3 linked regions of the Arabidopsis thaliana genome follow. The protein of the gene in region 3 purifies or fractionates together with the protein of the main gene of each other region. This does not show direct contact. Each region holds a gene or a part of one and is shown on either strand. Other genes may lie near its edges. The genes, in order: ATCS, CSY5 and AT2G12200.

Evidence for each region.
Region 1: the proteins of AT2G12200 (region 3) and ATCS fractionate together in Arabidopsis thaliana (co-fractionation; one large-scale study listed by BioGRID). This does not show direct contact.
Region 2: the proteins of AT2G12200 (region 3) and CSY5 fractionate together in Arabidopsis thaliana (co-fractionation; one large-scale study listed by BioGRID). This does not show direct contact.

The regions. Positions count from the first base shown.
Region 1 is NC_003071.7:18,314,266-18,321,322, forward strand, and holds ATCS (Citrate synthase family protein), read left to right. Parts: upstream 1-2,012; 5' UTR 2,013-2,127; intron 2,128-2,154; exon of another isoform or gene 2,155-2,317; intron 2,318-2,390; 5' UTR 2,391-2,407; coding exon 2,408-2,458; intron 2,459-2,556; coding exon 2,557-2,622; intron 2,623-2,768; coding exon 2,769-2,810; intron 2,811-2,991; coding exon 2,992-3,057; intron 3,058-3,149; coding exon 3,150-3,215; intron 3,216-3,337; coding exon 3,338-3,451; intron 3,452-3,559; coding exon 3,560-3,623; intron 3,624-3,800; coding exon 3,801-3,883; intron 3,884-4,011; coding exon 4,012-4,061; intron 4,062-4,140; coding exon 4,141-4,218; intron 4,219-4,362; coding exon 4,363-4,491; intron 4,492-4,625; coding exon 4,626-4,668; intron 4,669-4,759; coding exon 4,760-4,846; intron 4,847-5,013; coding exon 5,014-5,115; intron 5,116-5,463; coding exon 5,464-5,571; intron 5,572-5,662; coding exon 5,663-5,713; intron 5,714-5,860; coding exon 5,861-5,934; intron 5,935-6,011; and 5 more. Other genes in the region: AT2G44340 (VQ motif-containing protein), read left to right, coding at 14-580; AT2G44360 (ecotropic viral integration site protein), read right to left, coding at 6,590-6,829, 6,914-7,021.
Region 2 is NC_003074.8:22,190,599-22,196,984, reverse strand, and holds CSY5 (citrate synthase 5), read right to left. Parts: upstream 4,256-6,386; 5' UTR 4,098-4,255; coding exon 4,047-4,097; intron 3,964-4,046; coding exon 3,910-3,963; intron 3,794-3,909; coding exon 3,752-3,793; intron 3,622-3,751; coding exon 3,556-3,621; intron 3,466-3,555; coding exon 3,400-3,465; intron 3,311-3,399; coding exon 3,197-3,310; intron 3,105-3,196; coding exon 3,041-3,104; intron 2,905-3,040; coding exon 2,822-2,904; intron 2,726-2,821; coding exon 2,673-2,725; intron 2,590-2,672; coding exon 2,512-2,589; intron 2,398-2,511; coding exon 2,269-2,397; intron 2,104-2,268; coding exon 2,061-2,103; intron 1,963-2,060; coding exon 1,876-1,962; intron 1,744-1,875; coding exon 1,642-1,743; intron 1,461-1,641; coding exon 1,353-1,460; intron 1,278-1,352; coding exon 1,227-1,277; intron 1,143-1,226; coding exon 1,069-1,142; intron 986-1,068; coding exon 934-985; intron 832-933; coding exon 739-831; 3' UTR 538-738; and 1 more. Other genes in the region: AT3G60090 (VQ motif-containing protein), read right to left, coding at 5,654-6,127.
Region 3 is NC_003071.7:4,898,683-4,901,505, reverse strand, and holds AT2G12200 (P-loop containing nucleoside triphosphate hydrolases superfamily protein), read right to left. Parts: upstream 894-2,823; 5' UTR 856-893; coding exon 691-855; intron 589-690; coding exon 562-588; downstream 1-561.

The sequences.
Region 1 (7,057 bases), about 13 Mb from region 3:
TATAGTTTCTTCAATGGAGATTACTCAATATCAAAGTTTTCATGAAGGTTCGAGTTCTAGGGTTTCCATGAACAGGAATTCACAAGTAATATCCAAGATCAAACCCAAGATTCGCATAATCCATATATTTGCACCGGAGGTCATCAAGACCGACGTCAAGAACTTTCGTTCACTCGTCCAGAGTCTAACCGGGAAACCGGCACCGGGAGAAGCCAAAACCGGTAAAAAGAGAGCCAAATCAAGAATTACGACTCCCCAAGAACCGGTTTGCGATGATCATCAGCCGGTCAACAGGCTTTCGGGTTTCACCGGTTTACTAGCAAACGGAGGAAACCACCAGGTGAAAGAAGAGTGGGGATCAGGTGATCAGAGTACTTCGAACACAAACACGTACTTTGATCTAGAAGGTTTAATTCAAGATGTCGGAGAAGATTACTTCTCTTCGTTTCCCATGAGATCCTCTTCTTCTTCACAAGTCGAAGGTTTCATCTTCAACAACAACAACAACAACAACAACAACAACAACAACAACAACAACAACAACACCAACTTCGATACAAAGGCTCATAATTCGTCTTAATTAATAACAGATTAATTTCTAGGGTTTTCAATCTTATTGATTCTGCAAATCGCATTTGGTGAGATGAGATCTAATCGCAACGATAAGGTCATATTTTGTGGGAGAAAAAAGGCATAGAAGTTGTATATAGATATAACAAATGGGTATGATGAGAGACATAAACTTTTGGCGGGACTGACTTTGCCAAGGTTGAGAGTTGTGATGAAGAGAGTTTAATCTACGTGCAGCCCTTCTAGGAGAAGTGGCTGTATCTAATTAAGATGTGGTCGGTCAAAAAAGCCCTAGTTTTATTATGTAACTTCATTGATGTGCTATTATTGGATGTGTATTAATTCTTTGGTGTGCAGATAAATGTGATGATTGCTGTACTTTAATTTTGGGGAAAAAGTTTGTATGGAATTAGAACAAGGATCGACTTGTTTTCGATATAGATACTCTGATTGATTGTGTATATTGAATATCGATACTTACATAACGGTTATTCGGTTAAAGTACAGTTACACTAATTAAATTAAACTGTAAGTTAACAAGAATATTCTGGCTCAAGCTAAATTATTTTTTTTATTATTATTGTTTACTAATCTTTTGTTACAAATGTTGAAAATGATATTTATTATACATGTAGTACTTCAACTAAAATAAATAACGTGTTTTCATATTTGATGTACGTGTATAATATATCATTTTCAACAGTGAGTAATATTAACCCTTTTATCAAAATAAAGTAAAACAAAATGATATAACCTATCAACAAAATGCAAAGAAAATTGATCCGAACCGAATATAGCCGTAACGGTACACCAAAATTGTTTTGAGATTTTAGTGTCCGTTGACCTTTTCATATAAAGCCAAATTATTCGGTCTGGTTTCCAAAAGAACGAAAAGGTATATGATTACGGTTTACTCCCTTGCTTCTGTGTTTTGGTTTAGTTTGGTTTACCTTCTCAAAGTTCTCGAACGTCAACATTTATTTTATCTTATTTTGTAAGGTTCTGCACATGTTATACTTATTAATTAGTCTACTTTTTCAGGCATTGGGATTATTTGTTTTAGTCTAAATCGGTTTTGGTTGCATAATATTGGATGAAAACATTGTAAAGGACAATTTCAAACCTGACTTTTCTAGATTTGGAAACGTTCCGGCTGCTTGAAAAGCTCACATAAATATTAGTATGATTTCTTAAACCAAAAATAAATGATGATTATCAACAATACCGTAAATAAGGCAAAGGAAATAAATGATGATTATCAACAATTGCCGAAAATAACCACACCGGTACACCGAAATTGTTTTTGAGATTCATAAAACCGGAATAATACGCCTAAAGGTTATTTTCTCCAATACCGGTTTAGTTTGGTTTGCCTTCTCAAAGTACTCGAAGGTCAAAATTGGAATTTAGTAATAAACCTGCTCCAGCTATATACAAATGTCATTTGCTCACCTTTCGCCGATTGATTTTGTACATCACACGCAGACGCAGCTTTTAGTATTTTTTTCAACAATCGCTTTTTTTTTTCTCGATCTCCGTGAAGCTCTCGAATCTCTGGTATGTTTCTTCGCTTCTTCATAGTGTTTCTCATTTCCTTTTGGTCTTCCATAATTTTCGGAGAATCTAGTCCTGTTTTTCTCTTCTTCTGGAATCTGAATTCGCCGGTGAATTCCGCTGATCGAATCTCTGAGTTTTGTTGAATTATTTGATTCGGCGATAAAACTTTTTTTGTTTGTTTCTGATTTTGGTGAGTGTTGATTGCTTGAGTTTTTTCACGGATCGATTTGTTTTGAGAATTGGGTGGATACTGTCTGTCACAGGTTTTGAGTTTTGGAGAATGGTGTTTTTCCGCAGCGTATCGGCCTTTACTAGGCTGAGGTCTCGCGTCGTAAGTATTTGAAAATTTTGTTTCCAGTTTTGTGTTTGTTCTCGTTTGATCTCGCTGGTTCATGCTAATCGATTGATTGGTGATCGAATCTATGTAAGCAGGGCCAACAATCTTCACTCAGCAATTCTGTCAGATGGATTCAGATGCAGAGCTCTACCGACCTGGTAAATCATCTCCGTTGCTTCGTACTTTCGTGTGTGATCGTGATCATGTAGTTTTCATGATCATGATCATATGTAAGTTTAATATTGGTTTGGGATCTGCTGCTTGTGGGGTCTTTGTTCATTTTGTTTAAATGGTGGCAATGCAGGACCTGAAGTCGCAGCTGCAAGAGTTAATTCCGGAACAGCAGGTTAGATTAGACTCTGTTTGCTTTAAATGAAAATTTGTGTTGTTGACTTTTTTTTTTCATTGAATGTGTGTATTATTTGTTATGTTAGCTGAGATTGTTAAGTTAAGAAGGCAGGCTAGTTGTAGTGAATCTCTTTGCTTTTCTAGTTTCCTCTTTTCTCACAAGAATTTTCCAATTTCAGGACCGTCTGAAGAAACTGAAGTCAGAACATGGGAAGGTCCAACTGGGAAACATCACTGTTGATATGGTAGAAACAATCATGATTTTCACGTTTTTGGTTTGTTTATATGATTTTCACCTTCCATTGCATAACTCATCATAATCCCCTTTGAAATAAAGGTTATTGGTGGAATGAGAGGGATGACTGGATTGCTTTGGGAAACCTCATTGCTTGACCCGGAAGAGGTACTGTATAACTCTCTGTATATAGTTACAATAGCTTGGTTAGATCCTAGATATAGAATATATCAAATGCTCCTCCTTCCTGTTCTAAGGCTGTTGATGCAATTATCTTATCATTATTTCAGGGTATTCGCTTTAGGGGATTGTCGATTCCTGAGTGCCAGAAAGTATTACCTACTGCCCAGTCTGGAGCTGAACCATTACCGGAGGGTCTTTTGTGGCTTCTCTTAACTGGAAAGGTGTGGCTCTTCTGTACATTATTATAAGTTGGTTCTGGATATGTCCAGTCGATTAGTTTTCCTCAATAGATTATCTTATGATATCCTTTTTTACCCTTTTTCGTATAGGTACCTAGCAAAGAGCAAGTTGAAGCACTGTCGAAAGACTTGGCGAACCGTGCTGCTGTGCCAGGTTTGGATATTACCTTTTTCGCTCTGGCTGTTGCAAATAAAGGAGTCTGTTTATTGGCTCATTCAAACTTGTTTGACATCAATGCTTACAAGAAATTGCTTAACAGAAATGAAATAAATTTGTGGGTTTTGTGTTATACTTTCATTCATTCTTAACTTGTATCCAATTTTTATACAGATTATGTGTACAATGCCATCGATGCTCTGCCTTCCACAGCTCATCCAATGACTCAATTTGCTAGCGGTGTTATGGCCCTCCAGGTGTGGTTCTCTAAACTCGTATTGTTGTTTCTGTTCTTCTTGTGATAAGCGTTGGAAACTTATTGTTTTTTTTGGCTATAAGTAAACAATTTTCAGCAGAATGATAATTTTCTTTACCTAATATCCAGGTGCAAAGTGAGTTTCAAAAGGCATATGAGAATGGAATTCATAAGTCAAAGTATGCTTTTGGGGTTCTGATTTAGTTCATGATAGCGTTTCATATTAGCTGGCATCATAACAAAGATTTTTTCTTCCAGGTTCTGGGAGCCAACATATGAGGATTGCCTCAACCTGATTGCTCGTGTTCCTGTTGTAGCTGCATATGTTTATCGAAGGTTAGTGAAGACTCTTTTTGTACTCTTTTTCATGTTTCTTGTAGCTTCTGGATTTTCGGCAATGATTTTTTTTTTATTGGAAAATTTGCCATCTCTTGTTTTTGCTTTGTATTGACTGTTGACCTTTTCCATGCATCATTGCAGGATGTATAAGAATGGTGATTCCATTCCCTCAGATAAATCTTTGGATTATGGTGCAAATTTTTCCCACATGTTGGGATTTGATGATGAAAAGGTGAAAGAGCTCATGAGGCTTTACATCACCATCCACAGGTCTGTATTAATTTTCGTCACCCATGCATGTCTCCTTAAATAAGCTTAATTATCTTGTAAATTTGTTTGTTCTTTTTAAGACTTTAAATAGACCTTTGTATAACATTTTGCTTTTCTACTATTTTTTGCTCTAGTGATCATGAAGGTGGAAATGTTAGTGCTCACACTGGTCACCTGGTATGTATATACTCTCCATGTGTCAATTTTAAAGGATTGACCTACCTGAAGTTTCTAATGGTTCTTTTGCTAAAAATTCTTGTTCATGTAGGTTGGTAGTGCACTTTCAGACCCATATCTGTCATTTGCAGCTGCATTAAATGGTTTAGCTGGGCCACTCCATGGTTTGGCTAATCAGGTATCCTCCCTTGTCTATATCTTGAATAAGTCTTAAATCTTCAATCTACAATAGAGCTTCGTAAGTGGCTTTTTGTATTTTATCTAGGTAGGTTGTGATAGTTTGATGATACAACCATAAATTGGAGAAAACAAATTCTTAGTCTTTTTTTATTATTGTTTCAACAGGAAGTTTTGCTTTGGATCAAATCAGTCGTAGAGGAATGTGGAGAAGATATATCAAAAGAACAGTTGAAAGAATATGTTTGGAAAACATTAAACAGTGGCAAGGTAAAAACAGGAAATTCCTCTGCCTTGACATTCTTTACTTTCTGGTCTTGTACCTGAATCCCACTTTTGAAGCCAGCCAACAAGACTGATGGAGCATGCGAAAATGAATTAACATCTTGTCTACTAGTCATCATAATAGGCTAATATTTCAATTTATTGTGTGATACTGTTATGGGTCCTCTTATTTACGACCTCATAGTTTGGTCAGTTGCTCTAACTGCTCCTAGTAAGTAATACTGCCATAAGAGCTTTGGATCCTGTTTTTCCCTATCCTAGTTTACCTTGTGGATGTAATGTTACAAGGATAGTCTAATGATGATCTATTGACGAGTCTTGTTTTGTCTCTAGGTTATTCCGGGATATGGTCACGGTGTTCTGCGCAATACTGATCCAAGATATGTATGCCAAAGAGAATTTGCCTTGAAGCATCTACCTGACGACCCTCTTTTCCAGCTGGTACTTTTTTTCTTTCTCTTTTCTCTTTTCTGTTCGGTTCTCAAAATTCTATCAATGTTCAGTAGCTAACAAAATCCTTCCAACTCTGTAGGTGTCAAAGCTTTATGAAGTTGTGCCTCCTGTTCTCACTGAGCTTGGAAAGGTAGTATCTCTATCCTTCGTTTACCATGGTGATCCTTCAATATTCCACCAACAACTCCACAACACCTTACCTACATGCTAGGGGCTTATGAATCTCTTGCGAATCAATTTTTTATTTACTTGCGAATCCGATGATGGCTTGTTACAGGTGAAGAACCCGTGGCCAAATGTTGATGCTCACAGTGGGGTCTTGCTGAACCACTATGGTCTAACCGAAGCAAGGTAAGAAGTAGACACCTCCTTCAAGTATCATTGAGCCTTAGGATAGCACTCAAATATAATATCTGTGCGTTTTATAGGTACTACACCGTGCTCTTTGGTGTTTCAAGGAGTCTTGGCATCTGCTCTCAGGTAACATATATATATTTACACATTACGCCTTTGTTACTACATAACATTTAAAACAGAACTCATATGCTCTCCATTCTCATTTGTGTTTAATTCACAGCTTATATGGGACCGAGCTCTTGGACTTGCACTTGAGAGGCCAAAGAGTGTTACCATGGACTGGCTTGAAGCCCATTGTAAGAAAGCTTCATCTGCTTAAGTCACCACCGAGTCCTGAGTTGTCGCACTCTCTCGTGTTTCAACAAAAGTCATTCTCTTCCACACTGGATAGCTTTTTTTGTTTTTACCTTCTATTGACAGAAGAAACATTTGTTCATGTAGAAATTGTTCCTGAGAAACACATGCTTGGTGCAAATTTGCATTTCCGGGAAACTCGTGATAATAAATAAACAGTTGTATTCAGTTTGCGTAAAAATCAAACATCAATATCACTCATGAATTAAAGCTTATCTTGGTTTTGATATACATAAAAGAAACAAGACTGCAAAATAGAAAACTTCGACATGAGTTTATCAAAAAGAAAATGGGATTAAGAGCTGCTGGTATTGTCGGTAGTAGTCTCCTTGTTAGAAAGGTCATCATCATCAGCAAGAGAGGCTGTGAAGTTGAGTCTCTCTTCGGCGCCGGCAGTGATAACCGGCATCCAAACATCAGCTGTGCCGCTAAGAAGCGTCTGAACCTGTGGATCAGAAGCTATAGCTGATGATATCATCTCATCCACATCATCTAACTTTGCTGATAACTTGTCCAATTCCTTAGCTATCTCCACCTGAAAACACAAACAATCACACACAAAGCCTCAGATTTACATTACAATGTGTACCAGATATATGAGTGAACACAGGATACAGACCTCATTGAGGTGTTGAGCAGACTTTGATGGCACTTTAGTGACTTCTAAACCAAGAGCTTCAATCTTAGAACGTAGCTCAACCTCTTCTGTATTTGTCAATGATTCTACCTAAGAAACAAAAATCATCAGTAGGCAACAAAATCA
Region 2 (6,386 bases), on a different chromosome or scaffold from region 3:
ACTTGAGTTGGAATTGTATGTTTCTCTTGCACCACTGGACTGGCCATGACAAGGAAGACTAGGATATGTTCTAATAATATATTTCCTGTCCTAGCTAGAAACCTCTGCTCTCGGTTTCTAATAATTCTCGGTAACAGGATCCAGCGACTCCTCTGAAAGTTAGAGAAAACTTGTGAGGAAGAAGACTCAAAATCAATTTCGCATTTCTGGCTTTTTGTGATTACGAAGAGTCTTATACTTAGCCAAATATCTGAAGGTTTAGAAGAGAACACGTTGCATCTTACTGTTCACTGAAGATAGCAAATGTGTTTTGTAGAATCATCATAAAGCTTCGTAGGGAGCTTCTTAAGATAGGAGGAAGCTTCTGTTTGATCCCGAGGCTTTGAATTTCTTGACTCTGCTTCTGTTCACTTCAAACACTCTGTTTGAGCGGGACTGGTTGCATGAGTATTGTTTATTATGCGATAATTCACCAAAGACTAATCAATACATATCAATGGTCATCATTTGTCTATCAAAGTTGAGGAACAATAATATGGTGTCTCAATCTGAGAAAGACTGTTTCTTTACTTGTTTGACTTTATTGTTTTTGCAGAAGAACCAAAATGAAAACTCTGTAGAACAAAATTTCGACGAAAAATCGTTTTTTTTTTATCTCTAAAAGCTACCCAATCAAATGGAAGAGAAGGCTGAAGTGATAAAAGAGAGAACCTTGACCAACATCAGTCAGGGATTAACTTAGCGGTTCAAGCGCGTGAAGTTATCGAGCCAGTCCATGTTTACACTCTTTGGTCTCTCAAGTGGCAGTCCAAGTGCCCTGTCCCATATCAGCTGAAACAGAAAAGGAATAAAAGATTAGTCTGACTTTATTGTGAAGGATATGGCGATACGTACTAAAATCGAATTGTCGATGGCATGAATGTATGTATGTACCTGCGAGCAGATTCCAAGACTTCTTGAGACGCCAAAAAGCACCGTGTAGTATCTATATTTGAAAGGAATGTCACTCTATAATAACCAAGATTCAGCAAAACAAGGTCAAAGCCTCGATACACAAGTAGTTCCTACCTTGCTTCGGTTAGACCATAGTAGTTCAGAAGCACTCCGCTATGAGCATCAACGTTAGGCCACGGGTTCTTGACCTGATACAGCAATTTCAAGATTCATAAAACCAGAGAAAATCAGAAAATCTGGTAGCACATGAAATGAATGAGTATAAGTAGTACCTTTCCCAGCTCGGTTAGAATAGGAGGCACCACTTCATAAAGTTTTGAGACCTATAGACTTGCATAATTTGTGAGCCAGTAAAATTTTAAAGCATGACCAAAGATTTGAGGGGGAAAAAAAGTTACCAGCTGAAAAAGAGGATCATCAGGTAGATGCTTCAAGGCAAACTCTCTTTGGCATATATATCTTGGATCCGTTTTACGCAAAACACCATGGCCATATCCTGGAACAACCTGCAAGACAAATGTTTATTTAAGTTTCCTGACAACATTCACAGGCAAACCCCATAATCAAAACATAATCCGAAGCTTTTATTCATTATTTATACAATAATTCAAGTTATGGCCTGTCATGATTAGCATGCAATACATATGGATAGTTTCAAAAGGCAAAGCAGAGCATAATTTTGTCAACCTTGCCACTGTTTAACGTTTTCCAGACATAATCTTTTAGCTGTTCCTTTGATATACTTTCTCCACATTCCTCAACAACTAATTTGATCCACAGCAAAACTTCCTACAACAAGACAACGAAAAAAAACAGAGTAAGATTCCAAGTTTAAGCTTATAATTAAGAGTCAATCTTAGAGTTCAAGTTATATACACTTGTAGATTCGAACAATATAAGACTCATTAAGGATATAAATACCTGATTAGCCAAACCATGGAGTGGCCCAGCTAAACCATTCAATGCAGCAGCAAATGAAAGATATGGATCTGAAAGTGCACTCCCAACCTAAGTGAAGAAACATCATTAGCCAAAAACAGAACCATCAGAAATGTCTATAAGTTCAAAACATTATCATGCATCAAGATCATGTGGCAAATACATACCAGGTGACCAGCGTGAGCACTAACATTTCCACCTTCATGATCACTAAAACAGAAACCAGTAGACAAGGGAAAAAAAAACCTTGATCATGCTATAGAAATTTGGTAAGAGTTGGTAAAATAAAGGAAGATCATCATTATATACAAGAAAACTTTAGCTTATGTATTCTAATTAATGAGACATGTTGAAACGAAGAGAACCAGGACTAACCTGTGGATAGTGACATAAAGCCTCATGAGCTCTTTCATCTGAGGACTATCAAATCCCAGCATGTGTGAAAAATTTGCACCATAATCCAAAGAATCATCTAATGGAATGATGCTACCATCCTTGTACATCCTGCAATGTGAATTAGAATGGACATTGAAAAATAACACTCTGAAGAAAGGAAAATCTAAGAAAATTAACTAGTCCAGGAAGCTAAAAGCATTGGAAAAGATCCTAAAATTTAACCTCCGATAAACGTATGAAGCTACAACAGGAACACGAGCAATCAAGTTTAGGGCATCTTCGAAGGTTGGTTCCCAGTACCTGACAAGAAACCTCAGTTTCTATGATGCCTACTACTATAAGCCAATCAAGAAACAAAGTATAGAACTATTGAAAGTTTATACTTTGACTTAGAAATATCACCCTGCTCATACGCCTTTTGAAACTCACTTTGAACCTGAATAACAATCAACAAGATAAGATGCTCCTGAAAATAAACAAATTCTAAGAGAATGCATAGAAAAAAAAAATAGTACATAACAGAGCAATCCACCTGAAGGGCCATAACACCACTAGCAAATTGAGTCATTGGATGAGCTGTTGAAGGCAAAGCATCTATAGCTTTGTATATATAATCTGCAATGGAGAGTTGTTATATTTGCAACATCATAATATCCAGTTTATAATTATCATCAGCTTGTATTTTGCTAAGTTTTGATGAGTCATGAAACTGAGGTCATAAACAAACAGAGCCTAGAGGTGAACTACAAACCTGGCACAGCCGCACGATGAGCCAACTCTGTTGACAAAGCATTAGCTTGCTCTTTAGTTGGCACCTATACCGAAAGGAGGGAAAACTATACTTTAGATCATTCATATATAAAGTTGAAACTTATTGTATGTATAAAATGTTTTAAGATTATCACACCTTTCCAGTTAATAGAAGCCACAGAAGACTCTCAGGCAAGGGCTCTTCTCCAGACTCAGCTGAAGGTAATATTTTCTGACATTCAGGAATCGACATGCCTCTAAACCGTATTCCCTGATACAAAAGATAATATCATATGTTATATAATTCTAATTCAAGATCTGACCTGAAAATTATCTATGTGATCAAAATTATAACCATACCTCATCTGCATCAAGCAATGAGGTTTCCCAGAGTAATCCAGTCATCCCTCTCATTCCACCAAGTACCTTCACAAATACCACATGTAAAACTATATATACGAGTATGTTTAAAAGATAAAGCCTTTGTGTAATCACAAATATCATTAGAATCCGTACCATATCAACGGTGATGTTCCCCACTGGAACCTTTCCTTGTTCTGATTTCAGTTTCTTCAAACGGTCCTGAAAGTTGAAAGTTGTGTTTGTGTATGAGAAATGACATCAACTAAAACAGAGAGAAGAGCTTGATCTCTACATGAAATCTGCCCTAAAATTAGAAACAATCTCAATCACAACGAAGTAGAAACTAAACCTGTTGTTCTGGAATGATCTCTTGCATCTGCGACTTCAAGTCCTGCATTACCATCATTTTAAGCAACATCAACACAAAACCTAGAAGGTAAAATTCCAAATTTTTGGTTCTCAAACTGAACCGCATGATCACGAGAACATGAAAACCTAAGAAAGTACCAATTCAGAAGAGTGGAGCCATCTGACGGAGTTACTAAGTGAGGATTGTTGCACCTGTGCTTCTTATATTAGATCTGATCATCAAATTGTATCACATCAAACAAAACACAAAAAGGATGAAAGCTAAATCTACTCACTGCTCGAGACCGTAGTCTTGAAATGGCTGATACGCTGCGAAAAAACACCATTCTTTCAAACCTCACAACACTGATCGGTTACGAATCCAAACAATCAAGATTGGCTTAACCAGATAAGAGATAAAGGGAAAGAGAAAGCGTGGAGAAGAACTAACGGGAAATTCGAAAGTTTCTTCAACGTAGAGAGAAAAATTGAGAGATGTTGAGATATATCTGCAACGTGATGAACAAGCGTCAAATTACAACATATGTAAACCAAACACACGGATTCTTCTTACCAAACCGGTATAATGAACCAATTGATTACCATTTAGAAAACCAAACGAACAGGTTATGTTCGGGTTCGGTTGAGATTGGTTAGTTCCGTCGGTCCGTGAGACGCAAGATTCGAAGCAGCCGTAACGATTCTAATGCCTAAAAAAACGGTCATTAATAAATAAAGAACAAATGGTATGTAGCTTTTGCTGTTGCTAAATAAAAAAGTAGCTTCTTGGTAAAGTCCAAGGGTTTAGATAAAACATAATTTTATTTTGTTGGAAATAAATAAAGTAAAAATGACATTTCACAATTGAAAAAAAAAGTTATAAACTTCGTTATTATAATTTCTTGGTCGAATGGGCGGTTTGATATTCTTCATTCTCCATTAGTTATCAGAAATTTTTATATTCTTTTGAAATACTATTTAATGATGTAACACAACTATTAACAATGATGGATATAGCTATAGCTAGTTAATATTAAAACATTGGATATCATATTATATGACACTATTGATCGTTATGTCATCCAAAAAATAAACTGATATTTCAATGAATGAGATTGGAAAAATATGACATATATCCATTACAACTCATTATAATCATATTACCATATCATTTTAATGTTTATGAAATGTGAGTCCACCTTTCATAATCTAACGTTTTGAGAAGTTAAAATGTAATTTAGCCATAAAGTTTTGAAGGTATATATCAAGAACATCGCCAATAAAACAGAACTTTATTCATTTATATATTCAAATCGAAACTCTTTTAGAGTCATGTAAGAATCATTTATCATTATAGTATTTCGTTAATTCAGTTTAATGGAATTCATTTTTGTTTTATCAAACAATTTGTTGTAAGTAACATGACTTATATATGAATTAACAAACAAAATAATTTGACGAAAAAAAATGAACAATCTAAAAAATTCAATCACAATATCATTCTCGCTTTTCTATATATAAAACTTGCACACGCACGCGTGAGTACAACGTTACACCATTTTTAAGTAGAGTTTTCACATGATCGGAGATCAAAACACAAACTTACTTTTTCTTGGCAAAATCAGTCTACAAACTCATCACTACACTCTTTCTTGGTAAATTAAGTCAGTCTAACAAATTAAATCAAAGGGCACCCAAGCCCAAAAAATCCAAACATTTGTACATATATACAAGTTATGTATGTTCCTACCTATATAGATGATCATCGTCTCAACCTTGGTCTTGTCTTGACCCATGTCTTGTTATGCTCCATATCGAATAAATGATCAAATCATCATCAAAACCAACAGGACTTACGATTAGTAGAAACCCTACATATTAGGGTAAGGTGTGACCAAACTAATTATTGTTGTTGAAGATCAAACCATCGACTTGAGAATATGTTGTCGTCTTCATCAAGATCGATCAAACCGTCAAAATCAAAGTAAGTATTTGTGTTTGAACTTGATCCCCATTCTTCCTTCACCACGTGGCTCCCTATTATTCTGTTGTCCAGTTCAGCCGTATGTTCTTGGCCGGAATCTTGAGGCAAACCCGGTGGCGCAGGAAAATTTGTGTTGGTTATCTTTTTCTTAGAACCGGTTTTGGTGATCTCCGGTTTCCCGGTTAGACTTTGGACGAGTGTGCGGAAGTTCTTGACATCGGTGTTGATGATCTCGGGAGCAAATATATGGATGATACGGATCTTAGGCTTGATCTTGGTTATTATTTGGGAGTTCTTGTTCATGGGAACCAAAGTTTTTGAATAATCACCATAAAAGGTTTGATGAGGAAGATGATCTATATCGTACTCAGCCTTCATAGAATTTCTCACCATATAAACGTAAAAAGAAGATGAAGAAGCGAAGATTTTGGGTTTTTCTTTTTTGGATTTCAGGTTTCTTGTATTGTTTTGGGAAATGATATGCATATGTTGTGGATTATATGTCTCTATATATATACACAAAAAAAACAAAATGTGAATATACAGTTTTATTGTTGGTTTGTAAAAAAACATTAATAAAATACTATTTCTTAAAGACAAACAAAATGAAAATAGTTAAAAATATAAGACGAAATAGCTATGGACCTGCCTT
Region 3 (2,823 bases):
GAAAAAAGAAAAGTTTCACTTCCTAATTCCATTCAAATCACATTGCCCTAAATATAACAAATCGATGCATATAAACCCCAAAATCAAATCGTCACAAAGAACTAGGTCAAATTGAGAGTAAGACATGCCTTGATTTTGAGCTCAGTGGTGGCTGCGACAAGGTTAGAGCTCACTGGTGGCTGCGACAAGGTTAGAGCTCACTGGTGGCTGCAAAATGAAAGTCGATTCTATGAGATTAGGTCAAAATGCGAGAAAGATGGAAGCTGAAATGGATTAATAAGGAATAAGGAAGAAAGACTAACCTTGAATTTGAGCTCAACGGTGGCTGAGCTGGAGAATGTGGCGGCGGAGAATCCGAATTTCTGGCCAGCGACAGATCTTAGCTTTTAGGTTGAATCGATTTTGGGAGTGGATTCGACAGATCTAAGGCAAAAGTGAATAATTTTGGTCTTCTCGATTTTCTTAGGTTTTCACGAAGCTGTAGAGGGAAGTGAATAGTTTTGCTTAAGTGTTGGCGCTGAAGTGAATAATTTTACCTAAGTGTTGGCGGACTAAAGTATTTTACATTCCCGCTAGAGGATTTACGGTCTTAGCGTTTATAAGGTGCTATTAAAAAGTAACCAAAAATTTTATTCATCTTTTATAGCAGTTGAGGAAAATGAGCTATCCTCTACTGCTATCAATGAGGACTTTTTTTGTAGTGTATATGAAACCAGCTCCAATGCTTCCTCTAACATCCCGAATTGGCAATACAAACCCTGAAGGTGCTCTTTTCTTTGATGTATCATGTGAGAATGAGTACTGCGTTTTCGACATGCATATGGGAAGATTCGAGAAGCCTTGTTGTGTGTACATCTCAATCTGTTTATGTGCCTGTATGAGCAATTTTCAATCTAAAACATGTTAATAATAAATCTTATAAGTAATTTTCAATAATATTTTAGTAAAGAAAACTATCAAAGGTCTCTTTGGAATGGTGTATGTTTGAATTAAAAAGAAAACAACAAACAGTAATTATTATGTGGATATTTAAGGGGAACTAAAAATAATAATATAGTCCTCCCCCAAGTCCTTTAAATTTTCTTGAGAGGAGTCACAATTGAGCCATGTTCAGAAGATATATGTTTTAGAACACCAAGAAAAATATCTTTGAACACTAAGATGTCAGTTTAATGGATCGTGAAAGTCTTTGGACCCTACGACTGGTTTATGATGAACTTGTTTGTAGGGAGATGCGATTTTGACTCAACTCAGGTCTAAGTATCATCCGGAAAGCTCATCCCCCTTTAATTTGAAGATGAAAGTCTTAATATGAGTTATGAAAAAAAAACTTTTGAAAAAGATATATTGGCAAGTGTTTTAAATAAAGTGCATAGTCAATCTTAATGGTAAATTTTCTTAGAGAATGGCTTCTTTCTTCGATCTCTTTGACTAATGTGGTGCTTCAAGTTTTCTTCCCTAGTTCTAGCTTCCTAGTATTCTTCGTTTTTGTAATTTAAAATTTTCATTACTTAGTCCGGTTTTTAAGAATTATTTTCTATAATGTTTAATTTGTAAACAGTGCCGGTTTAAATAGAGGGGCAAGCGGTGCGACAGCCAAGAATCCAAACCCATGTTTTAACAATTAAGGGACATATATTTTTTAAAAAATATTTTTAAAAATTAGATATAACACAAAAATAAAATTTAGAATGGACCTATAATTTTTTTAATGCATTTTTTTTTTTTTTGTTAACTAAATTATCATACAAAAAATTTTATAACAAAATATAAAAAAAAATTATCCTACACCCATGAAATTGTTGAGCGGACACTGTTTGTAAACATATGTACGAAAATGGGTTTTAGCTAATGCGGGGGTAAAAAAATCTTGTCAAATATTTAGAGAAAAATACTGTTTTATAAATAAAAAATACTGGTTGACATCGTTTAAAATTTTGAAAACTTCTCGATTTCAAAGTTTCATCAAAGACAATACTTAGCTTTTTGGGTTAAAGTCTTCATATGTCTTTCAAGAAAAGATCTTGAACTCATTAAAACAAAATAGAAGTGATAATAAAATAAAGATTATAAATCTCAAATGACACACGTAAATTGATGATGTCATAAAAATCCATGATAGCTGTTGTTTTGTTTGTACTCTAGTAATGTAAATTGTAAAGCATAAAAGTAACTAAAATATCTTATGCCTTTCACACGTAGAGCCCAAAACCCTTCCGAGCTAAGTAATCTCGTGACTTGTGAGGCACAAAATTATCTCACTTGATTTTCTCAAATTTTAGAATAGATTTTTATTTTCTAAAAAACTAAAAAACTTGATAATATTATGTGGACGAGTATATCTTATAATTTATAGGGTTATATCCAGATTTAAATCTGGATTAGGAACTGTAAAAGGCAAAAAAAAAAAAAAATACATTAAAAACAAAATAAATACGTGGACAATAATAAATAAAATAACTCTCATTAGTGATGAATGCCCATCATGAAGCCGTGGAAGATTTCCAGGATTGGGAGCCATGTCGTTACTCCACGTACCATGGAGAGATGGAAACAAATAATGGAGTGAACAGAGACTATGTTCGTGAGGATGTGGCAGCGGATAGGGGCAAACGCAAGAGAGAGGACACCATCGAAGAAGATGAAGAACACGAGCCTTCTAAGATGGTGATCCGTGAGGCTGGGGAAAGCAGTGGTTGCTCCGGAGAGACGGTTCAGCCGAATGACGTGGGGAGAGGCGCGGTGGGCCCAGAACCCCCTCTTCCTCCATGAGGACAGCCGCTTGGAACTGCAGAGGACTGGGCAATGACCTCGCAGTTCGAC